Anolis sagrei: one gene and its partner. The protein of the gene in region 1 interacts with the protein of each later gene in a pairwise test. Links are inferred from orthologs where the notes say so. Each region holds a gene or a part of one and is shown in the gene's direction. Other genes may lie near its edges. The genes, in order: KCNA3 and CAV1.

Region 1 (12,549 bases):
TAGTGCTGGTCTCCTTAACCTGATTTAAATGTTTATCTGCTGTTAACAGGATGTCTCCCAAAGGGCTCAGGATCACCATGGGGTGAAACAATGTTCTGCTAGGAGCAACAAAAGTTGGAGGAAACAGTTCCTAGTCACATATCCTATCCTTCACAGTTTCTTTTAACTCCCCATTTCCAAAAATTTAAGATGAGAAACAAAGATCACCCCTAAAGAAATGCATCTTGCTACTTGCTGTTGTTCCCTAACTCACAGAATCAAGAGTTGGAAGGGATCTTGTAGACCAGGAGTGTCAAATTTATTTTCATCAAGGACCAAAGCAACCTTATAGTTGCCTACAAAAGGCTGTTGAATCCACAGAGAATCCATAGTCACAGAGGGCCAACAATAACGTTTTGATGTAGTGGGTTGCTGCTATTTAGTTTTTCCGAATTTGGGTCTCCAGGTGTTATTGAACAATAATTCTCATCACTTTTGGTTATCTGCATGTGGACTGCAAATAATGAGAATTGCAACCCAACAGAGGACTTGTGTCTTTGAGGCTGGGGAAAGTTTAAATGGCATTTTACAGTCAGGCATCATATCCACAAATCTTGTAACTATGTTACTAAGTATCTGCTTTGATCTAGGTTATCTGTGTCCACATTGCCACATATTCCAGTTCAAAGCAGATAATGTGGGATTTTCTGCCTTGAGATTCTGGGATGTAGGACTCTGTGGAAGGGCCCTAGGTTAGTGGTGTACAACCTGTGGCCTTCCAGGTTTTTTCAACTTTAGCTCCCAGAATTCCTGACCTTTGGTCACTCTGGGTAGTGCTTCTGGGAGTTGTAATCCCAAATACCTGGAAGGCCACACGTTGTGCATCACTTGCACTAGGCATCACATTTCTCTGTGTAATTACTTCCATCTTTCATGGACCTTCCACAGAGCACTATATCCCAGAATATTAAGGCAGAATATCCCACAATATCTGCTTTGAACTGCATTATCTGAGGATTTTCTGCCCTGATATTCTGGAATATAGGACTGTGTGGAAGGGTCCCCAGTGTTTTCTCCTGCTTTAATTTTTCTTTAAAATGTCAGTAGTTTAATATGATTTTGGAATGTTTAAACCTGTTATTGCCTTACATTTTAGATGGTTTAATTTGGGGTTTTTTTGTAAGTCACCCAGAGACCTGTTGATAAAGGATAGGATATAAATATTTTGATACAGGTTTATTTTCGAAAGTTCACCGTCCTCTTCTGAATTCCAGTCTATTTGCATCTTTTTTAAAGAGCAGAATCTACAAAGAGACAAAATACTGAGCTCTGACTAAGGGGAAATAAAGCAAAATATTTCCTGTCATTTTGAAGCTTTAGCTCAATTAATGCAGTCTAAAATCACATTAGCCCTTTTTGCAGCCACATCACACTGCTGACTCATATGCAACTTGCTCTTATTTCTTGTGTTGTCGTTGTGCTTTCTCCACTCCTCCTGGCATCTTTTTGCAATTATTGAAAATGTGCAAAGCAGTACTGTGGAGGAGGGATGACAGTGGAGGAAGTGTTTTGTGTAAAATTATTTTTAACAACCACTGAAATATTCCACTATACAAAAACATGGGGAGGGAGAGGAATTAGAGAATGTAGAATAAAAATACTCACTTGCATATGAGCCCTGTTTCCCACGACATGAAGTAAAGAGGTTCACGCATATATATTTGATATTATGCATGCATATTGTATGCGTGCGACCAAAATTTCTCAAGAGAAGCTCATTGCTGTTAAAAGAACATTTGCCACAGCTGCAGCTGCAGTGTGTGCATACAATCATATGAATTGTCTAACTAATTCAGAATTATGTACTTGCCCTGGCTCCATATATTACTAAGATTCCAGAGTAGAGCTTTCCCAACATTTCCTGTTGGTGACATGCTTTGTAGACATGCATGATTTCATGACATAGCCATTCAGTTTTATTAGCAAACCAGAAGTGAAATCAATCTTTTCTGAGAGATCTGGATACATACATAAATTGTAATAACAAAATGCATTGGTAACAACATATCTCATGAAAATATTTCATTTATATATTATTAGCTCGGGGATATGGCAGTGCCTGGGTTATTAGAAGAAGACATTGTTTGTTTTGGGATGGTCCAGATCCGTCAGTGGCTAGGTTCAGTGCTCTCTGGATAAGGGTGAACTACAATTCCCAGATCCCCAGGGAAATCACCCCCAAACCCTGACAGTATTCACAGTTGGCCATGTTGGGTCTGTGTATCATGTTTGTCCAGATCCATTGTTGGCTGGATTCAGCCCTCTCTGGATAAAGGTGAACTACAACTCTCAGATCCAAGGTCAATCACTTCCAAACCAGGCTTGTATGCACAGTGGGCCATGTTGAGTCTGTGTGCAAAGTTTGGTCCAGATCTGATGTTGACTGGGTTCAGTGCTTTCTGGATGCAAGTGAACTACAATTCCCAAAATCAATACCCATTCCCCCAAACCCCTGCAGTATGTTCAGTTGGTCATGGGGCTTCTCTGTGCCAAGTTTGGTCCCAGTCAGTTGTCGGTGGGGATCACAGCATCAGTGAAGGTACTGCAACTCCTATTACCCATTGCAAGTTTGATCCAGATCCATCGTTAGTTGGGTTAACAGTGCTCTCTGGATGTAGGTCAAGTACAACTCCTGTAAATCATGGTGAATTTTCCCCAAACTTCTTGTTCAGTTGCTGATCAATTCCTCTGTTTGTTGTGTGCCATAGCAAAGGGTAGGAAAGGGTTAATGGAGAGGCAGTGGGTGGGATCATGCAAATTCCACAGCAATGGAGAGAGATAGGAACCATGGGATGTGGACGAAAAACAGAACATCTAGGATGAAATTGTCCCTGCATGAGAGCCTTCACTTGGGTGGGGGGCAGTATGGTGTTTATGGAGGACACTGGCAGGGTTTGGGCTACATATTCATGGCACTCACTATAACCTGCAATGTCAGCAGAGGGAAAGACATGGGTGTCTCCTGCTCAGTGGGAACAATAGCTGTTTGTGGAAGTGGGAGCTCTGTCCTAGCTCCATCTGGATATATGAAGAATGGAACTGGGGACTTCTAACATGCAAAAAGTGATCAGTCTCTGAATTGTGGCCCATGTTTAAAATATTTTAGCCACTTCAGATATGAATTCTTGCACACACTTTGAATCTGTTCATTTATTTATTAATACCAATGGTTTTCGTGTGTACAGCTTCAATTAAATTTCGGCTCACTGAACTCTTAAAGTTTCTAGTGGATAGTTTGGTATTATGTACACCAGGAATTGTGGAAGGTGAAGTCCAAAACACCCAGAGGGCCAAAGTTTGCCCATGCCTGATCTACATGGTAGAATGAATACAGTTTGACACCACTTTAACTGCCATAGTGGTCAGAAGGGGTTGAAGGCTGTGTAAGACTACAGTTCCCTTGATTCCATAACATTGATCCAGGGCAGTGAAAGTGGTGTCCAACTGCATTCATTCTTCACCCTTCGATTTCCTAAGGACAGAGCCAGCTCACACTTTTGTCAAGCATCTTGAAGCCTCCAGTGCAGGAAAAGCTCAGGAACTGCAACCCACCAAAACTTGGATTGAAATAAAGTGGGGCAGAAACCTCCTGGGCTGCTTTTTGCCTTCCTTGGTGGACATTTGTTTCACTAAACGGCTATTATAACACTGATCTGGATCCTCTAATGATAGGAATGGCTTTCAATTGCACTATATAATATTTTATAGGATTTTACAGTGTTTCTAACTGGTTGTTTATTTATGCATATATTGTTGTGCTATTTTGTTTTTATTAACTAATACATGATTATTTTTTTAACATACTACCTATGTTTTTTGTCTGGTTGTAAGCTGCCCTGAGTCCCTCTAGGGAGATGAGGTGGAGTACAAATAAAGCTTATTATTATTATTATTATTATTATTATTATTATTATTATTATTGACACAAAATATTAATATTAATAAATATTAATAATAATTAATAATAATAATAATTGATGCTGGGGAAAAAGGAAGAGTGGCCAGCCAAGGGCAAGATGGATGGATGTCATACTTGAAGTGACCGGTTTGACCTTGAAGGAGCTGGGGGTGGCAACAGCCGACAGAGAGCTCTGGGGTGGGCTGGTCCGTGAGCTCACAAAGAGTTGGAAGTGACTGAACAAATAAACAACAAACATATTATTGACCAGGCAACAGTTTGCAAAAACACATTCCTGCCAAATGCTGGTGTGAATTACAGCCCTGTTGATCAGCCCTTGAAAAAGAGGATGAAGAACTTTTGAGAAGAAGACAACTCCTTAATTTATGTGACACCCCTAGTGTAGCATGAAAAGAGGACAGGACCCTCCTCCACCTAAAGCTTCTTCTTTTTTTTCTTTTTTTGCTTAAAGTGATTGTTTCTTATTGTAGAGTGTACCAAAAGAATGCTAGAGGTTCAGGCTTGAAATATGAGCTTCATTCCTTTACAGGGACCCATATAATTGTAGTTCTGCATCCTCATCTTCTCTGGTTGAGATGCTTCTCTTCTATAGTTGGTTGGAATCCTTTTCTTCTCTAGATGGTGGAAATCTCAACTTTTCTATTTGGTTGGGATCTTAATCTTCTCTAGTTGGCTGAGATCTGCTTCTCTCATTAGTTGAGATGCTCCTTTTCTATGGTTGGTTGGAATCCTTTTCTTCTCTAGTTGGCCAAGATCCTCATCTTCTGTAGTTGGTTGGGATCCAGCCCAGCTTACCCGTATCTCCCTCTATGAACCATTGTGGAGATTAAGATCTTCTAGGGAGGCCCTGCTCTCGGTCCCACCTCCTTCACAGGTGTGGTTGATGGGGATGAGAGACAGGGCCTTGTCAGTGGTGGCCCCTTGGCTGTGGAACTCCCTTTCCAGTGATATTAGATTAGCTCCCTCCCTCCTGGCCTTCAGGAAGAAAGTGAATACATGGCTATGGGACCGAGCCTTTGAATAATAATCATGGTGCAAGAAATGGATATGAAATATGTGCAATGAGTACTGGAATGACTTTGAATTATGATCATGGATTACATGGTTTTAATAGTTGGTGTAATATTTTGATGTTTTAATTATTTGTTTTAATGTAATTATTTATTTTAATTGTATGTGGCTTTTATGCCATTGAATTGTTGCCTATGTGTAAATCCGCTTTGAGTCCCCTTTGGGGTGAGAAGGGTGGGGTATAAATATGGTAATTAATAAATAATTAAAAAAATCCTAATCTTCTCTAGTTGGCCAAGGTCCTTGTCTTCTCTAGTAAGTCGGGATAATCATATTCTCTAGTTAGCCGAGATCCTCACCTTCTCTAGTTGGTTGGGATCCCAATCTTATCTAGCGCACCAAGATCCTCATATTCTGTAGTAGTTTGGGATCCTAATCTACTCTAGTTGGTCAAGATCCTCATCTTCTCTAGTTGTTTGGGGTCCTAATCTACTCTAGTTGGCTGAGATCCTCATCTTCTCTAGTTAGTTGGGATCCTAATCTTATCTAGCTGGCTAAGATCCCCACCTTCTCTAGTTGTTTGGGATCCTAATCTTCTCTAGTTGGCCAAGATCTTTACCTTCTCTAGTTGTTTGAGGTCCTAATCTACTCTAGTTGGCTGAGATCCTCATCTTCTCTAGTTGGTTGGGATCCCAATCTTATCTAGCGCACCAAGATCCTCATATTCTGTAGTAGTTTGGGATCCTAATCTACTCTAGTTGGTCAAGATCCTCATCTTCTCTAGTTGTTTGGGGTCCTAATCTACTCTAGTTGGCTGAGATCCTCATCTTCTCTAGTTAGTTGGGATCCTAATCTTATCTAGCTGGCTAAGATCCCCACCTTCTCTAGTTGTTTGGGATCCTAATCTTCTCTAGTTGGCCAAGATCTTTACCTTCTCTAGTTGTTTGAGGTCCTAATCTACTCTAGTTGGCTGAGATCCTCATCTTCTCTAGTTGGTTGGGATGCTAATCTTCTCTAGCTGGCCAAGATCCTCATCTTCTGTAGTAGGTTAGGACCCTAATCTTCTCTAGTTGGCTGAGCTCCTTATCCTTTCTAGTTGGCTGCGACCTCCTCTTCTCTGTTGGCTCAAATCCTCGCCAGAAACGCGTCTGGCGAGGCAGGGACTCTAGCGGAGGATTCTGGAGCGCTGCCTCCCCGTCCGCGTGGTCGCCTGTGCCCTGGGGGGCTTCTGCTCTGTTCCTTCCTCTTCTCTTTCCCCCTTCCTCTTCCTCTTCCTCTTCCTTCTCTTCCTCCCGCCTGGCTCTCTCTCTCGCTGTCCTTCTCCAGTAGTGGCGGCGGCGGCGGCGGCGGCGGCGACAACAACAGGCGGTTCCCCTTCATCATCATCAGCTGCGGCGTGCGGGTGAAGAAGCCCCTTCCTTCCTTCTTTCCTTCCCCGCCTGGCTGGCTGGCTGGCTGGCTGCTGCTTGGCTGTCTCCGTGTGGCTCCGGCGGGAGGAGCCCGTGAGCGGCGAGGGCGGACTCCTCCGCGCGACGGCGGTGGCAGAGCCGGGCGGAGCCGTCTGGGGAGAGCGCGTCTCCCCTCGGCTCCCGCCGCGCCCCGTGGATGGACGAGCAGCGGAGCCTCCTGCGCTCGCCGGCCGCCCCGTCCTCTGGCAGGCAGCCCCGGGGCGGCGGGAACGGCGTCGTCGGGGCCAGCAGCCACCACAACCTGGGCTACAGTGAGCAGCCCTTCCCCGAGGGCGCCCTCCAGCAGGAAGGGCAGGAGGAGGGGGAAGAGGAAGAAGAGGAGGCAGAGGAGGCGGCAGAGGAGCTGGAGGGGGGCATGACGGTGGTGGGGGGAGAGGACCCCCTCCTGGACGACACCCAGCACCCCCAGGCCCTGCTGGGAGGCGAGCGCTACGAGCACCCGGGGGTCCACGCCCTGCCCCCCGCCGGCCACCACCTCATGTTGGGCAGCGGAGGAGGAGGTGAGCACGAATGCTGCGAGCGGGTGGTCATTAACATCTCCGGTCTGCGCTTCGAGACCCAGCTCAAGACGCTAGCCCAGTTCCCCGAGACCCTCCTGGGCGACCCCCGCAAGAGGATGCGCTACTTCGACCCCCTGCGCAACGAGTACTTCTTCGACCGCAACCGGCCCAGCTTCGACGCCATCCTCTACTACTACCAGTCCGGCGGCCGCATCCGGCGACCGGTGAACGTGCCTATCGACATCTTCTCTGAAGAGATCCGCTTTTACCAGTTGGGTGAGGAGGCCATGGAGAAATTTCGGGAAGATGAGGGCTTCATCCGTGAGGAGCAGCGGCCTCTGCCCGAGAAGGAGTTCCAGCGCCAGGTGTGGCTTCTCTTTGAGTACCCGGAAAGTTCTGGACCGGCGCGGGGCATCGCCATTGTCTCGGTCTTAGTGATCCTCATCTCCATTGTCATTTTCTGCCTGGAGACCTTGCCCGAGTTCAGAGATGACCGTGACTATGATACCATTGCAGGGACGTTTGGAACGGGCGTGGGCCCCTTCATGGCAGACGTTTTCACGAATTCTTCTTCCCCTGCAACCTCCATAGTGTCCTCTTTCACTGATCCCTTTTTCGTGGTGGAGACGCTGTGCATTATCTGGTTCTCCTTTGAGCTGCTTGTCCGCTTCTTTGCCTGTCCCAGCAAGCCCACCTTCTCCAAGAACATTATGAACATCATTGACATTGTGGCCATTATACCTTATTTCATCACTTTGGGGACTGAGCTGGCCGAGCGGCAAGGGAATGGCCAGCAAGCCATGTCCCTTGCCATCCTCAGAGTCATCCGGCTAGTTAGAGTCTTCCGTATATTCAAGCTCTCTCGGCACTCCAAGGGGCTGCAGATCTTGGGGCAGACCCTCAAGGCCAGCATGCGAGAGCTGGGCTTGCTCATTTTCTTCCTCTTCATTGGAGTTATCCTTTTTTCTAGCGCGGTCTACTTTGCGGAGGCTGATGATCCTAACTCGAGTTTCAGTAGTATCCCTGATGCCTTTTGGTGGGCTGTAGTGACCATGACTACCGTGGGTTATGGGGACATGCACCCGATCACAATTGGGGGCAAAATAGTTGGGTCTCTCTGTGCCATAGCTGGGGTGCTGACCATTGCCTTGCCTGTGCCTGTGATTGTCTCCAACTTCAATTACTTCTATCACCGGGAAACAGAAGGTGAAGAACAAGCCCAGTACATGCATGTAGGAAGCTGCCAGCATCTCTCCTCCACCGAGGAGCTGAGAAAAGCTCGCAGCAATTCCACGATCAGCAAGTCCGAGTACATGGTGATTGAAGAGGGAGGCATCAGCAACAGTGCATTCAAACAGGCTGCCTTTAAGACGGGCAACTGCACGGCCGTAAACAATCCCAACTGTGTGAATATTAAAAAGATCTTCACAGATGTTTAAGAGACCCTTCAAGGCGATATAAATATATAAATATATATAAACACACACACACATATATACAAGAGGGTCTGCATAATCGTTGTTGTGAGGAACATGCACCACCATCCGTCTTTGTGCTCTTGTTTCATGTGTGTACTTTTCTCGTCCTTCCTTCCGAAGATGGGGATTTGGGGAAGGTAAACGAACCAAGCAGATGTGAAGAAAGGAGACAGATAAGAGGATTCAAAGACGTACGTACGTGCGTGCCGCTTCCTCCAGGAACAGGTTTTTGTTCTGCGCTGTTTGATGCGGGGCTTTGGGGATTTTTTTTGTTGTTGTTGTCAGGGAACGTGCTTTGTTGTCTGATTTTGCAAAGAACAGTTCTGTTGCTGATTTTATGTTCCTTGCCTGGCTGCACTTGTTGGACTGAAAGTTAGGAAGTGACAGCAAAGTGAACGTCACCATCTTGCCGACAGTGAAGAAAAAAAATATACGTGATGATTTTAATGCCACAGCGCATCTCTGCCATCCTGTTCTACAATGATGCCTATTGTTGAAACATCTAATGTGTGGTATGTGAGAGTGCAGTCCAGGTTTCTTTATGTCAGGTTAGAGTCTGTGTGCCATCCGCCCAGGTCATTTGTGTAATCATTTAGATGGAACAAGAACAAAAACCTCCATTGTGGTTTGGGGTATCTTTGGGCCACAAGACCAAATAATTGCTTTCCTGAGCCTGAAAGTTTACCTGCATGGTATAGTGGAAGATCTCTCTCCCCATAGTACAATGGACAGTGGATTGTCCGGAACGTGCCCTGAGTGTTTAGCACTCCGCGTATCGTGAATTGCTCCGCTCCTAGTAAATCTCCAATGGGCTCTTGGCAGAGACTGCAGCCTCCACTGGAAACCCTAGTAACAAAAGGGATGTTTCCATCCATTGCCAATGCATGCAAGATAAGCGGTTGCATCTATCGCAAGAAGATTAAAGTGGCAAATGCACCCGCCTTGCAGCGGAAGTTACTAATTTGGACTTGAGTGATGCAGTTTCCATAGCAATTTGGTTTCCTGGGAAACTCCCAGAGGTTGCCATGGCATCCGGTCTCTCCCTCCCCCACTCCTGTGCTGTTTCCATAGCAACCATTCCAGATGGTTCCAACTTCTGTGGTTCCACAGAAAAGCCTCTGCTCCGATAAATCACACACTCACACACTTACATACGCGCGGCAGTAATCCCAGAGAGATTTAAGTGTGGAAACTACTGAGTGCTATTCGGTGTGCATCATTTTTGGACGTGCAATATTCTCGGTGTCCTGGTGCCAGCCAAAACACGAAGATGAGGAAGAATATCAGTCGTTCCTCATGTTTCGATAGAAAAAAAAAACACCTGTTCCACAAAAAACACCAGCAACTTCAGGTTCCTGAATCTCTTTTACTATTTGATACCCCAATATTTGAGACTGGGAATGAATCCTTACTCATTGTACCACATCACCACCTAGGCAAATCAAAGATGGCACCATCCCCAGCTTCCTTCAGGACGAAACCTTTATTAATTCATGGTGCATGACCTAGTTTTATGCAACAGGACCATTCATTTCAAGGCATGTGTGGCACTGAAGGAGAAGAAGAAGACCCAAAACGTTTTAAGAGGATGCCAATCTAGGGAAATAAACACCAATGAGCCACAAAGTATGGGGCTGAGAAGAACTTAAACCATCTGGGAATATATGCTCATCTTCTGCCATCTACACACCTGAGGCTGTAGAGTATCAGGGAAGACACAGGTGAGCTGTTTGCTACTGTAGGAAGCATTGCTCTTCCTAAGATATGTATGGATGTATCAGCAACATGAGACCATCACTGATTTTAAACCCAACCTCTATGAGGTGTCTGTTGAAACATTTGACATGCAACCATGTGGAATTTAAATTTCTTTTTTTGTTTTAAAGCATTTTAACTTGCTTTTCCATCATATTTATAATGACATTCACTCCTGGTTTTTATTTTAGATTCAGAGTAAAGTTACTTGCTATTTCCTTTCAAAATCAGCCAGACCTTAAGCGTTGCAGGTTAGTGAACCATACCAGCCGTGATGTTACGATTCAACAAGGTAGACTGACTACATCTGTGAGAATATGTAAATATTTGAAAAGCGAAGTGATCGACAGATAAAGGCAGACTTCATAGAATCAGTATGTTTTAAAATATGTAGTAGTGATGGAAAGGGGAAAGGTTCATTACTTCACCGCAGTGATCTGAGATTCAACTCATCAGCATATGGTTTGATGCCTTTTGAGTTATTTTGAGTTTTCCAGGTTGTATGGCCATGTTCCAGAAGCATTCTCTCCTGACGTTTCACCTGTATCTATGGCAGGCCTCCTCAGAGGTTGTGAGGTCTGTTGGAAACTAGGAAAATGGGGTGGTGCAGTGGTTTAAACCACTGCAAAACTTGTTGACCGAAAGGTCGCAGGTTCAAATCTGGGGAGCGGTGTGTGCTTCCGAGGTCAGCCCCAGTTTCTGCCAACCTAGCAGTTTGAAAACATGCAAATGTGAGTAGATCAATAGGTACCGCTCTGCCGGGAAGGTAATGACACTCCATGCAGTTATGCCAGCCACATGACCTTGGAGGTGTCTACGGATAACACCAGCTCTTTTGCTTAGATATGGAGATGAGCACCAACCCCCAGAGTCGGACACGATTGGACTTAATGTCAGGGGAAAACCTTTACCTTTAACTTTACAATTTCCAATAGACCTCACAACCTCTGAGGATGCCTGTCATAGATGCAGGCGAAACATCAGAAGAGAGTGCTTCTGGAACATGGCCATACAGCCCGGAAAACTCACAACAACCCAGTGATTCCAACCATGAAAGCCTTTGACAATACACTGATGCCTTTTGTTTAGAATTGCAGTCTGCATGCAGTGATCTCTCTTGATCCCATTCAGGATCTGTATCTGCTTTGCATTTTCAATCAGTTCTAGCACCCTGAGATAAATTACTTGGCTGAGTCCTCAGCTATTTGGGGCACTTATGTAGAGCTGCAATCAAATCTTGTAATTTCCACCAGCTGGGAACTGGGCTAATTACTGTCTGTGGGGTAGAGAGCTGTGCCAGCGAAATGGTCATCGTAGCTTGCTTGCCTGCAAATTTCATCCTGTTGTGAGTTTGGCTGGAAATGGTGAATGATGAGGAAATGTCATGGAAGTCTTCTTTTTCATTTTTTTTTGTTCAGACTGTTCAATGCCTGTGGAATGTTATCATAAAGCAAGAACTCACTGGCCAAGGTGTTGCTTTGGGCGCATTTCAAGATATTAGCATCCCTATTTGGATTTTCCCACTGGCAGATTCTACTTCTTCCACATCATCCCATAATGCATTCTTGTTTCTTGCTGTTTGAGAGTTGTTTATTTAGCTAAAAAATAGCACCATTGTGAGAACCAGTGTGGTATAGTGGTTTGACGATTCTGGAGACCAGAGTTCAAACCCCTGCTTTTAAGGAAGGAAATCTCCTTATTGCTTTCATCCCTTTTGCTAAGCAAGTGAAAACAATGCTGTTTCTTGGGTTTAAATATGGAAAAATTGAAGTGCAGGCCCATAGTCAGGATTTTGTTTCGGGGGGAGCTGAGTTTGATTCGGGGGGGGGGGGGGGCTGAGTCTGAGTGAAAGAGGGTCTACCCTAGCAAACCTTTTGTATTGTTACCCCAATATCCCCATGCATATGGGATATATTGAGCATGGTGATCAGATCATGATATGAATAAACATAACAGTTTAAATAATGTACCAGTAAGGCCTTCTCGCAGACCACCATGAGAATTTCGGTGGGGGGGGGGGCTTGGGGGGCTTCAGCACCCCCCCCCCCCCCCGGCTACATGCCTGTTGAAGTGGATAGAAGACAATAACCTGTAAAAAGTCATGGCATTCTGATTGGTACTCTAAACAGAAACATACTAAAATGCAACATTTTGTTGCTGGTCTCATCAGTCAAAATAATTTTTGAAATTTTTCTTGATTCTGGAAAATGTTTCTCATGTCCTGTGCTTTGGAACCAGGCCATTATGATAAATAGCAGCTGTTTTCCTAGGGATGGCTGGTCTACCATATAGAATCATAGAATCATAGAGTTGGAAGAGACCTCATGGGCCATCTAGTCCAACCACCTGCCAAGAAGCAGGAAAATCGCATTCAAAGC
Region 2 (12,449 bases), on another chromosome or scaffold:
AGAATGACCTAAATCCCAAAGTGACCCGAAGACATACTCACCTCTAAGATATTCCAGCCAATACATTTGGACATAAAACTGTCATTTCCTCCAGTGAGTATTATTTGAACATAAATTTGGATGTTATTTTATTTTTCTGTATGGCCAAAATAATTCAATTTGTATTTGTTTCCATAAGACTGGATCTTTCATAACAAAAAAAGTGTGCTGGGACTTCATAGTAAAGGTTAAGGTTAAGGTTTTCCCCTGACATTGAGTCCAGTTGTGTCCGACTCTGGGGATTGGTGCTCACCTCCATTTCTAAGTCCATAGATACCTTCAAGGTCATGTGGCTGGCTGCATGGAGCGCCATTACCTTCCCGTCAGAGCAGTACTTATTGATCTACTCACATTTGCATATTTTCAAACTGCTAGGTTCGCAAAAGCTGGTGCTAACAGTGGGAGTTCACACCGCTCCCTGAATTCCAACCTGTGACTTTTTGGTCAGCAACTTCAGCATCTCAGTGGTTTAACCCACTGCACCACCAGATGACTTTATAGTTTGCAGAAAAGAAGATTTAATCTCATTGTAAGTTTGCTCGTTCTGTGCTGCTCAACTCACCATAGCAAAGGCATCAGTCGATTTGTCAAACGTTTTCACCAGTACAACGATAGCTGCATTTCTGTAAGTGAGTACAGATTGATTTTGCAGGACAGGCAATAATGTAGTTTACACAGAAATGGTTGCAGAGGTGAGTCACTTCCTGGTTATAGTTTATTCATATTTCCCATTCGAACTTAAGCAGCTTATCCTGTCTCTCTCTCTCCAGATACCATCATCCTTCATTGTCTGCTCTGGAATGTCTCGCCCTGAATATATAAACTCTGCCACCATCAAAGATTCCTTTTTGCAGTTCCATGTGGTGCACACAGAACAGAATGTGCCAGTTTTGGACCAAATCTTAACATTAATAGAGGAATGGGGCCTGGCCCAAGTTCTTCTGTTACCAGGGTCAGGAGTGAAGATGGCGATCTCTAGCTAGAGCTACACTGCCCAGTATCTGATCCCAGATTATCTGCTTTGAACTGGGTTATATGAGTCTACAATGCCAGATAATCTAGGATAAGCAAATAATCAGAGATCAGATCCTGGTATACAGTTCAGGTTGCATCACTCTTGAGTGCTTCTAGACCAGTAGTTCCCACCAATGGTCTGTAAGAACAAAAATATGGTCCATGACTTCACCATTGCTATACTGTTGCCTTGAAACCATGTAGCAACAAGAGCAACTGGTCTCTCAAAACCCTCTTATAGTGCCGAGGCAATGGAAATGTCAGGAGGAGAGAGGCTGATGGAAGATTACTACTACCACATCAGCTCTAAATTATTAAATATGGTTTTCTGTGGCTGAACAGATGGCGATTATTGGGTGGCATATGTTCTGTATCAGAAACTAGAGCTGATGTGGTCTATCCAATGTAATTTTCTGAATCAGCACCCTAAATAACCAAGCCAAATCTAAAGTTGACCAAAATCGGATTCATAACCCTTTTGGTACTAATGTTGGAGAGTGGTCCCTGGTCAAAGTGGTCCCTCATCAAAAAAAGGTTGGGAACCACTGACCTAGACTGTAGAAGTAATGCAGTTTTCTACCACTTTGACTGCCATGACTCGATGGTATGGAATTTTGGGTGTTGTAGTTTGACAATCTCTTATCAAACTACAACTTCCAGGATCCCACAGCATTGATCTGGGACAGTTAAAGTGGTGTCAAACTGTATCCATTCTACAGTGTAGACATGCCCTCTGTCTAATTGTGATCTTGGTGTGAAGACCAAGCTTTGTGCATTTTATCCCAAAACATAAATCTTTCCACATTCGTCTCCTTTTTTCTCTTTGCTGTTTTCTAGTTGTTTGGTTCTGAATGCATTTTAACAGGAAGAATGTGGAGTCCCAAAAAAGGTTAGATTGTACATTTTTAAATTTCATAATTCCATATTTAGATCTTTGTGTTATAAAGGCTATCCATGGGAGAGATTTTGAAGCACAGAAATAGAAAAGCCTATTTATTTGTCTGTGCCTTCAAGCTGCTTCTGACTTATGATGACCCCAGGGCAAACTTACCATGGTTAGTCAGATTTATTCAGAGGGGGGGTTGCTTTGCCTTTCTGACTTATGATGACTCACCCAAGGCTATCCAATAGGTTTCCAAAGTAAATAATACATTTTTTGTTACATAAAAGTGCATTTTTCACTGTGACATATGACCAGAAAACCTCTCTTTAGTGCAATCAGTATGGCTATATCTACATTGCCATATAAAATCCAGATTTTCTGCAATGAAATATATGACAGTGTAGACTCATATAATGCAGTTCAAATGAGATAATGTGGATTTATCTGTTTAGATAATCTGGATTATATGGCAGTGTAGATCCAGCCTATGTCTATGCTGACAGGAAGGTTCTGGGACAGGTAGGCCAAAAAAGTTTTTTTTTTCTTATCTCTAACAGATATATTGATAATGAACATCTGTATCCAGCTACTACATTTGAGCTTATTTTACTGCATTTTTACCCTGTTCTATCTCAACCCCGAAGGGGACTCAGAGCAGCTTCCAAATTGATAATATTCAATGCCACATTAAACATAAAAACATACAAATACAGAATACATTATGCATTAAAAACATTGAAATTCATAAAAGCAATGGCGTATAAATACATTACATTGACTGTTAAACATGGCACGTAGACCCAAAATCATAATCCAGAAACCATTCCAAATTACATTATAGTCCATTCACTTCATAGCTGCATGTTACCCTGTACTACTCTCCAAACGCTTGGTCCCATAGCCAGGTATTAACTTTTTATCTAAAGGACAGGAGGAAGGGAGCCGATCTGATTTCACTAGGAAGGGAGTTCCACAGTAGAGGAGCCACCACTGAGAAGGCCCTGTCCCTTGTCTCCACCAGTCGCACCTGTGAAGAAGGTGGGATCGAGAAGAGTCCCCCCAGAAGACCTTAGCATCTGGGCTGGTTCATAGAGGGAGACAGGTAAGCAGTCAGAACCATTTAGGGTTTTATAGGCTAAAGACAGTATTTTGAATTGTGCTCGGTAGCAAATTGACAGTCAGTGGAGGCAGGGGGTGGATTGTATGCTCTCTGTACACCACTGGTGAGCAATCTGGCTGCCTCCCGTTGGACATTCTTCAAAGGCAACCCCACATAGAGCGTCTTGCAGTAGTCTATTCAAGATCTTGACATCAATCAGTCATCAGCAAAAGTGAAATATCAAAGTAGGATACAGGGTGCTAAATGGTCTCTATAAAGTCTGAAACGTAATTTCTTGGAAAACTCTTAAGCATATTCGAAATTCAAAATAATATTAGGGCTTTTTTAAAACTCCAGGCTACTTTTTTCACTCTCTTTCTCTCTTTTAGGCAGAACCAGGAACCACGCCCTGAATTCCATGCTTCCCCTATGAGCAATCATCATCTTCTGCTTTGCCTTTCCATGCCAGGGTTTATCCTCACCAGCAGCACTTAAATGAACATGAAGGGACAGATCTTACTGTTGAATTGTGAGGTAGAAAGACTTTTTAAGGAGAGATTTCTGCAAGTTTACACCAATCCTGGCCTTTCCCCAGGCTTAAAGAACAATACAAAAGGCAAACATGTAATAAAATGGGCTGGCACAAGCAATCATTCTGAAATCCATTTGATGGTAAGGATTTGGATGAGGATTCAGAGCTGGAGAAAATCTGCAATGTTTTTGAAATGAACCAGCAGGGACCAAAGTCTCCTTCTAGTTTGACTCCATAGATCTACTGCTTTAGGGATAGAAATAACCACACAGAAAAAAAATGAAGCTTTTACTTTGGTTGACATGAAATGCAAATTCTATGGTGCATAACGTTTGCCTTGGCTCTGAGCTGAAACACCATAAATCCTTGTAACTGCCTATCATCACAGGAGCCATCCCAAGACATTTTGACATCTGAGTCAAAGTATATCATGGTTTATCCCTTTCCTTATTGTCACATATAGAAGCAAAGTGACCATTGGAACTGACTTCAACACTGGCAGTGGTCAAAGGTCCCAGGCTTTATGTTTGTTGTGGGATGGCAATCATGTGACCTTCCAGATACCATCTGGAATATAACTCCCAGAATTCATCACCACTGGCTATGTTGGCTTCTACCATGCCATATAAAATCCAGATTATCTGCTTTGAACTGGATTATATGGCAGTGTAGACTGATATAATTCAGGCCAAAGCAGATAATCTGGATTTTATATGGCTGTTTAGATGGGGCCTAGGACTGCCTGTGAGCTGCAAACTAAAAACATCGGGGGGGGGGCACTCTTCTCTTGGAAGAAAAGAGGCTGACAAGACAGGTATCTTGGATGCTGACGCAGGGTCAGAACGGAGGGAACTGGGGATAGTGGCATGAGGAGAAGAGTCAAGTGCCAAGTACGGATAGCAGCGGATGAGGGCCAGTCTGGGAACATACCATAACATTTCCAAAGCGGTCGGTGAAGTATTTTGGGAGATTTAAGGTTTAGAATCTTTAAAATCATAAAATATGCAGTATAGCATGTGTTGCTTGCCCGTCCAGCAGATGGCAATGTTTTTGAAGCAAAGCATATTTTTACCTGTCACAGGTATGACATCTATATAATAGTATGTATGTGAAAACATAAAACTATTCACCTGTTCAAATGTTACGTTGTGTCAAAATTTCAAAACAATCAGTGAAGTTTTTTTGGGAGATATAAGGTCATGAACAAACGGACATTTACATTTTTATTTATATAGATTGGTTATTATTGCATCATGTTAGGTTTTTCATATGAATGTTAAGTATTGAATTTTGCCGTGAATATGTTGGAAACCACTTTGAGTCCCATCCAGTGAGCCCCCCCCCCCCCCTCAAGATAAACATGCATTGAGAAAACCAAAGTCGTCTTCCAGCAGTCAGCAGCCAACACCTCTCAGATGCCAGAATTACAGCTTAATGGTGTAATATTAGAAAATGTTGACCATTTCTGCTACCTTGGCAGCCACCTCTCCACCAAAGTTTGGCACTGACACCGAAATACAACACCTCCTGAGCTCTGTGAGTGCAGCATTTTTCCGAATGAAGCAGAGTGTTTGCGGACCGGGACATCCGTATGGATACCAAGGTGCTTTTTTATAAAGCTTTTGTCTCCCCAACCCTGCTATACGCCTGTGAGATGTGGACTGTCTACAGACGTCACATGCAAATATTCCATCAGCGCTGCCTCTGGAAAATCCTGCAAATCTCTTGGGAAGACAAGTGGACAAATGTCAGCATGCTGGAAGAAGCAAAGACCACCAGCATTGATGTGATGGTCCTCCACCATCCTCCGCCATCAACTTCACTGGATGGACCACATTGTTCAGATGCCCAACTGTCATCTCCCAAAGCAGTTGCTCTACTCCGAACTGAAGAACGGAAAACAGAATGTTGGTGGGCAGGAAAAGAGATTTAAAGACGGGCTGGAGGTCAGCTGTGACCAACAGTGCTGTAGAATTTGAAAAGTCAGGAATGGAGGGAGAAAGCATGCCAAGAGGAAGGTGCGTCAAGCCAACCCCGACCAGGACCGCCTTCCACCTGGAAACCAATGCCCTCACTGTGGGAGAAGATGCAGATCAAGAATAGGGCTCCACAGTCATCTAGGGACCCACTGCCAGGACATTGATCTTGGAAGACTATCCTACTCAGAGGAGGGATCGCCTAATAAGTTAAGTAAGCACATCAACACTGATAATGAAACAAGAAAGACTGGGTCCCCTTAAGCATAAAGAAATTACATATATTAGAAACCATTACTTTATTTTCCAGTTCACCAAACTGGGCCACAGCAACGAGTGGCAGGGGACGGCTAGTAAATAAATAAGTAAATAAATAGGACCACAAGTCAGCTTCCTCCCTGGAGCTTCTCATCTACCTGAAGCGGTTGCCTCACTCTCCTGCATAGGTGGGCTCTGCCAACATCAAAAGCTGGGTCATCTGAGGTGCTTTTGATTTTTTGGTCAGCACAGTTGGAAGTGCAGAGGAGAGGGCGGGAGGTTCCTTCTGTGAACGGTCCAAAACACACACAGCCAGCCTTGCAAACTATGGAAAACCTCGCCAAAGCCCCAGCAACGGCTTCCCCCGGCATGTTGTCCCCCGCAAAGCCACGCGTGTGTACTTATTTTCCAAGCAAGGCTGGCCTCAAGTTTCCCAAAAGGAAAGAGAGAGAGAGAGAGGGAGGGGAATAAAAGCAGGCGAGGAGGCAAGATCTCCATGAGATGCCCCCCAAACCCTTTCCTCCTCCTCCTCCTCCTCCCCTTCCTCCTCCAAGCCTAGAACAAGCCCTTGGCGGGTGTCCAGGCGCATAACTTGGAGAGATACCTCCCACTCGCGGGTGGGAAGGGAAAGAAGGGGGGGTTGAACACAATACACGATCTTCCTTCTTTGGGCGCTGGGAATTATAACTCGCGCCAGTCGGGGACAGCATGTCTGGGAGCAAATACGTGGACTCCGAGGTAAGAAGGACTTCGCCTTCTCTCTCTTTTTGAGTTGTTGCTGCTGCAAAGTGGATGGTTTGCTTTCGGTTCCTGGCACCTCAAGGACCTGCTCGAGCCCTCGCTGAGGACTCTTGGCTCTTCCCTTATCTCTTTCTCTCTCGCGCGTACACACACTCCCCCTCTCGCTCTCTCCTCCAAAGCTGGAACAAGACGTAAGAGAGGTGTTTGGGGTGTTTTTTTGTGTGTAAAGTATTATTTGCCTGGCTTGGTAATCCGATCTGCTGGCGGGGCACTTGTTTTCACTCCCCCCCCCCCCCTTTCCAGTCCGATATCCACTCCCTCCCCACTTACCCGCTTGGCTCTCCCTGTCCGGGCTTCTTTCTCCAACTAAACTGCAGTGGAGGAGGATTTCTAAAGGAGAGAGGAAGAGGGACTCCTTTGCAGTAAGTGCTGGAGGGAAGGGAAGAGGGAGATGGGGTGCCCTCGGGCTTCTTTGCCAATATCACTTCCCCAGTGCCAGCAGCACTCACTGGCGGGGCTGCCCTTAAAGCTTTTGGCGCCAATCTGTCCCAATTGAGTGAGGGCTCTCCTATTAGGATGTTCCATCTCTGTGGGATTGTCCCTCAGGTTAAACTCCCCGTGGCGCAATGGGTTAAACCCATTGCCGGCAGGACTGAAGACCGACAGGTCGTAGGTTCGAATCCGGAGCGAGCGCGGATGAGCTCCCTCTGTCAGCTCCGGCTCCCCATGTGGGGACATGAGAGAAGCCTCCTGCAATGGGTTAAACTCTTGTGCCGGCAGGACTGACAGGTCGTAGGTTCGAATCCGGGGACAGCGTGGATGAGCTCTCTCTGTCAGCTCCAGCTTCCCATGCGGGGACATGAGAGAAGTCTCCCGCAGTAGGTTAAACATTTTTCCCAGCAGGACTGAAGACCTGACAGGTCATACGTTCGAAACTGGGGAGAGTGTGGATGAGCTCCCTCTGGCAGCCCCAGCTCCCCATGTAGGGACATGAGAGAAGCCTCCCGCAGTGGGTTAAACATTTTTTCCGGCAGGACTGAAGACCTGACAGGTCATACGTTCGAAACTGGGGAGAGTGTGGATGAGCTCCCTCTGTCAGCTCCAGCTTCCCATGCAGGAACATGAGAGAAGTCTCCCGCAGTCGGTTAAACATTTTTCCCAGCAGGACTGAAGACCTGACAGGTTATACGTTGGAATCCGGGGTGGATGAACTCCCTCTGGCAGCCCCAGTTCCCCATGTGGGGACATGAGAGAAGCCTCCCGCAGTGGGTTAAACATTTTTCCCATCAGAATACCTGACAGGTCTACAGCTCCAGCTCCCCATGTGGGGACATGAGCGAAGCCTCCCACAAGGATGGTAAAACATCAAAATATCCGAGCACCCCCTGGGCAATGTCCTTGCAGACAGCCAATTCTCTCACACCAGAGGCGACTTGCAGTTTCTCAATTCGCTCCTGACACACACAAAACCTCTTATCCTTTCAAGTTCCTTCTCCATCTCTTTCTAAGTGTTGGTATTTGTTCCGTTTCTAAAAGTGTTCCTCCTCATTTCCACTTCGCACCCAGCGGGTGAGGCTGAGAGGTAAGGTACATCCACTGTAGAATTAAGGGACTTGGACAAGCCAATGAAGATGATGATGATGATGATTTTTTCCATGTCAAGAGTGACTTGAGAAACTGCAGGTCGCTTCTGGTGTCTTCAAAGATGTTGCCCAGGGGACACCCAGATGTTTGATGTTTTACCATCCTTGTGGGAGGCATCTCTCATGTCCATTCATGGGGAGCTTGAGTTGACAGAGGGAGCTCATCCACGCTCTCCCCAGATTCAAGCCTATGACCTGTCAGTCTTCAGTTCTGCCAGCACACCACCAGGGGCTCCTAAGATGATGATGATGCCTTATACTTCCATTTTCTTCAAGAGTTTTTAAGGGTGCATCGACATTGTGGAATTATTGCAGTTGGTTACCACTTTAACTCCCTTGGTCCCATGCTGTGGGATCCTGGGATGTGTAGTTTGGTGAGGCACCAGCACTCTTGGGCAAAGAAGGCTCAAGACCAGAGGTTCTCAACCTTTAGTTCTCCAGGTGTTTTCTGTTTGCTTCTGGAGCACACCAAGAAATAGTTTCCTAAGATCCACTGTTCAGATATCAGCCAGCAAGCCAATGTCTTAAATCAAGCTTCCTAAGAACTATAGAGACACTCACAGGGACCCCTCAGCAAGCGAGAAACCAAAAGTGGCAGGCTAAAACCACAAAGCTCAAGCCACAAAGCAAATACTGGGCAACTTGAAAAGCACTGAACAGGCTGTGCTCTGACATCATGAGATGCAGAACCAACCTTAAGAAATAGGGCCACCAAGTGGAGTCCACGACATGTGTGTGTGGAGAAGAGCAAACCACAGACCACCTATTACAATGCAGCCTGAGCCCTGCCGCATGCACAATGGAGGACCTTCTTATAGAAACACCAGAGACACTCCAAGATTTTTTACAATTTTTTGCCCCCCCCCCCCAGGATAAATAAATCCAGATGTTTTGGACTTCAGCTCCCACAACTCCTAACAGCTGGTAAACTGGTTGGGATTTCTGGGAGTTGAAGTTCAAAACAGCTGGAGAACCACAGGTTGAGGACCACAGCTCAAGACCTTGTGAAGCTACATCTCTCCTGATCCCATAGCATTGAGTCAAGGCAACTGAAGTGGTGTCCAACTGCATTCATCCCACAGTATAGATGCACACTGGGCTCTTAGCTGGGAGGGGCCTTGTATGTCCAAGATCCCAGTTGTGGGGTAGTGTATGCAGGCAGTCCACCAAAGTGTCTGCAAGGAGTCGTGGAGGAGGTTTTGTTTGCGTTTTCTGAACCCATCAAATGGAACTGCAAGGTGTGGTCAAGGAGGACTCTTTTTATCTCAACCCCAGAAAGATTCCTCTCTTCTAAAGCCCCGGGGAACCTTTTCGGGAGTTTGTTTTCCTTCTGTCCTTTGCCCTGTTGCTTCCTCTGAGCTTCCACTTGGATCAAGAAGGGCCAAGGGGCTTCTCAGCCCTTGAGAACAAAAAGAGAGAGGTTTGGAGTTGGCTTGAGAGTTGATGGAAGAGATATGAAGAGAAGGGAATGCTAAATAGATATTTAAAAGACCTAATCACACTAGAGAATGAATCCACTTTAAATCTGGTTGCTGCAGAATTCTAGGGTTTGTAGTTTAGGGGGGAGCCTTTAACAGCCTCACTAAACTACAAACCCCAGCATTCTGCAAGAGGCAGCAACCGGCTTCAAAGTGCATGCATTCTCAAGTGTGATGAGGAAAAAAGTCACTGTTGGCCGGCTTCCCATTGGGGTTAGAATCCCAGTGAGTTCTAATTCTAATTCCTGCCAATTCGGGGGGGATATAATTCGGAGTAAAGGCAGTGCCGGTCGCTTAGGATCAGGAAGCAATGTTGGAGAGGGGTGTGTGTGTTACGCGCCGGGACAGAAAGTGCCAGATTGCGTCGAGGCGCGTCTTGGAAACCGACGGATCCTTTCCTTGAGGAAAGATCCCTGGAAGGGAAGAAAGATCCAGCCCCGAGGAGACTTTGAGGGGCTGGAGGCTGGCGAAAGTGCCAAGGCTTGGGGTGCAGGGGCGGGGCGGGGCAGCGGCTGACACCCTTCCCGTCCTTTGCGCATTTGGAGAGGTCGGACCCCTGGCGGCGGCTCGGCTTGGTACCGAGGGGTGGGGTGTAGGAGGCATTTATATATGCATTCTAATCCCAGAGAGCCAGCCGTGGGGGCCTTCCCGGGATGAAGCTCCTCTCTGCTCTCTTGCCAAGCTGCTTTGGACACCCCACCACCCGGGAGTGAAACTTGCTTTGGGCTTTTTGAGCCCCGTCTCCAAGCAGCGCCTTTGCCCACCCCCGGTGCCAGCCTCTCTCCAGGAAGCAGCTCCCTCCAAGGGCTCCGGATTGAGAGCTTGATCCCCTCACTCTTTCTTTCCTAGGATTATAGCTACACCGCGCCCATCCGGGAGCAAGGCAACATCTACAAGCCCAACAACAAAGCCATGGCCGATGAGATGAACGAGAAGGAGTACCACGACGTCCACACCAAGGAGATCGACCTAGTCGACAGGGACCCCAAGCATCTCAACGACGACGTCGTCAAGGTAAGAAGCCTCCGGATCTTTTCAGTATCCCAAGCCCACCATCAACATTTTTTTCCCCTTCAAGTGAGAAAAATAAAGTGGGAAAGAAAGGGAGTTTAAGGGTCAGTGAGTGCAGTTTGACACCTTAACTGTCAAGGCTCAATGCTATGGAATCCTGGGAGCTGTAGGCTGGATCTACACTGCAATTTAAAATCCAGGTTATTTGCTTTGAACTGGATTATATGGCAGTGTAGACTCATATAATCCAGTTCAAAGCACATAATGTGGATTATCAATTTTGATGATCTGGATTATATGGCAGTGTAGACTCATATAATTCAGTTCAAAGCACATAATGTGGATTATCAATTTTGATGATCTGGATTATATGGCAATGTGGACTCATATAATCCAGTTCAAAGCACATCATGTGGATTATCAATTTTGATGATCTGGATTATATGGCAATGTGGACTCATATAATCCTGTTCAAAGCACATCATGTGGATTGTCAATTTTGATAATCTGGAATATATGGCAGTGTAGACTCATATAATGCAGTTCAAAGCATATAATGTGGATTATCAATTTTGATGATCTGGAATATATGGCAGTGTAGACACATATAATCCGGTTCAAAGCACATCATGTGGATTAGCAATTTTGATGATCTGGAATATATCGCAGTGTAGACTCATGTAATGCGGTTCAAAGCATATAATGTGGATTATCAATTTTGATGATCTGGAATATATGGCAGTGTAGACTCATATAATCCAGTTCAAAGCACATCATGTGGATTAGCAATTTTGATGATCTGGAATATATCACAGTGTAGACTCATATAATCCAGTTCAAAGCACTTCATGCGGATTATCAATTTTGATAATCTGGAATATATGGCAGTGTAGACTCATATAATCCAGTTCGAAGCACATCCTGTGGATTATCAGTTTTAATGAATCTTGATTATATGGCAGTGCAGAGACATCTGTAGTTTGGAGAGGCATCAGCACCCTTGGGCAGGGAAGGCTAAAAACCGTAGATGTACCCTGAGGCCCTTTCTACACTGCCCTATAATCCAGTTTTTCAAAGCAGATAACCCACATTATCTGACTTGAACGGGATTATATTCATCTACACTGACAGATAATCCAGTTCAAAGCAGATAAACTGGATTTTATATAGTCTGAGATTTTTTCCTGTCTCAGGAGCAACTTGAGAAACTTCAGCTGACAGATGGAAGCTCACCCCACTCCCTGGAAGCTCACTCCACTCCCCTGAGATTGCATGGGTTGTATAGGAGTTTGTGTGCTTGGTTTGGAAAATCAACAGATAAAATAGTATGATAAATTAGTAACAGGTTTAAAGATTAGGATCAACCATGTTTGTAGCTAATTATGATAACCAATGGGTCAGAATTGCATGTCCAGGTTCATTAGGTGTGTACGTGTTCATACACACAGTATGTATATATACACACCCACACACAAGGTGTGCCCCAAAATGTACTCTCTAAGGAAACTGACCACATTGGAAGTTGTATCTCTACTGTTTCTTTACAGTCTCTACCAAAATGTTGGATAATTTCATTCAGTATTGAATATATTTTGTTTTTATGAGATGGGCGGGTGATTCTGATGCATGAGCTGAAAGAGCTTCCCTGAATATAATATGCTGAATGTTGCATATTTATCCCCAATGGGGAAACTTGGCAAACTTTGAATAAATCATCAACATGTTAAGTCCAGTGAAGGAAGTATATCCTGTTGCAAGAATTAAGCTTCTTCCTG

What was found.
Region 2: the proteins of KCNA3 (region 1) and CAV1 come close enough for resonance energy transfer, tested with the Homo sapiens proteins (2 studies listed by BioGRID). The link is inferred for Anolis sagrei from reciprocal best matches to the Homo sapiens genes KCNA3 and CAV1.

The regions. Positions count from the first base shown.
Region 1 is NC_090024.1:183,294,416-183,306,964, forward strand, and holds the start of KCNA3 (potassium voltage-gated channel subfamily A member 3), read left to right. Parts: upstream 1-6,066; 5' UTR 6,067-6,574; coding exon 6,575-8,377; 3' UTR 8,378-8,607; exon of another isoform or gene 8,608-10,137; intron 10,138-12,549.
Region 2 is NC_090025.1:131,343,606-131,356,054, reverse strand, and holds the start of CAV1 (caveolin-1), read left to right. Parts: upstream 1-6,385; 5' UTR 6,386-6,509; coding exon 6,510-6,539; intron 6,540-6,881; exon of another isoform or gene 6,882-6,964; intron 6,965-10,512; coding exon 10,513-10,677; intron 10,678-12,449. UniProt on the Homo sapiens protein: May act as a scaffolding protein within caveolar membranes. Forms a stable heterooligomeric complex with CAV2 that targets to lipid rafts and drives caveolae formation. Mediates the recruitment of CAVIN proteins (CAVIN1/2/3/4) to the caveolae.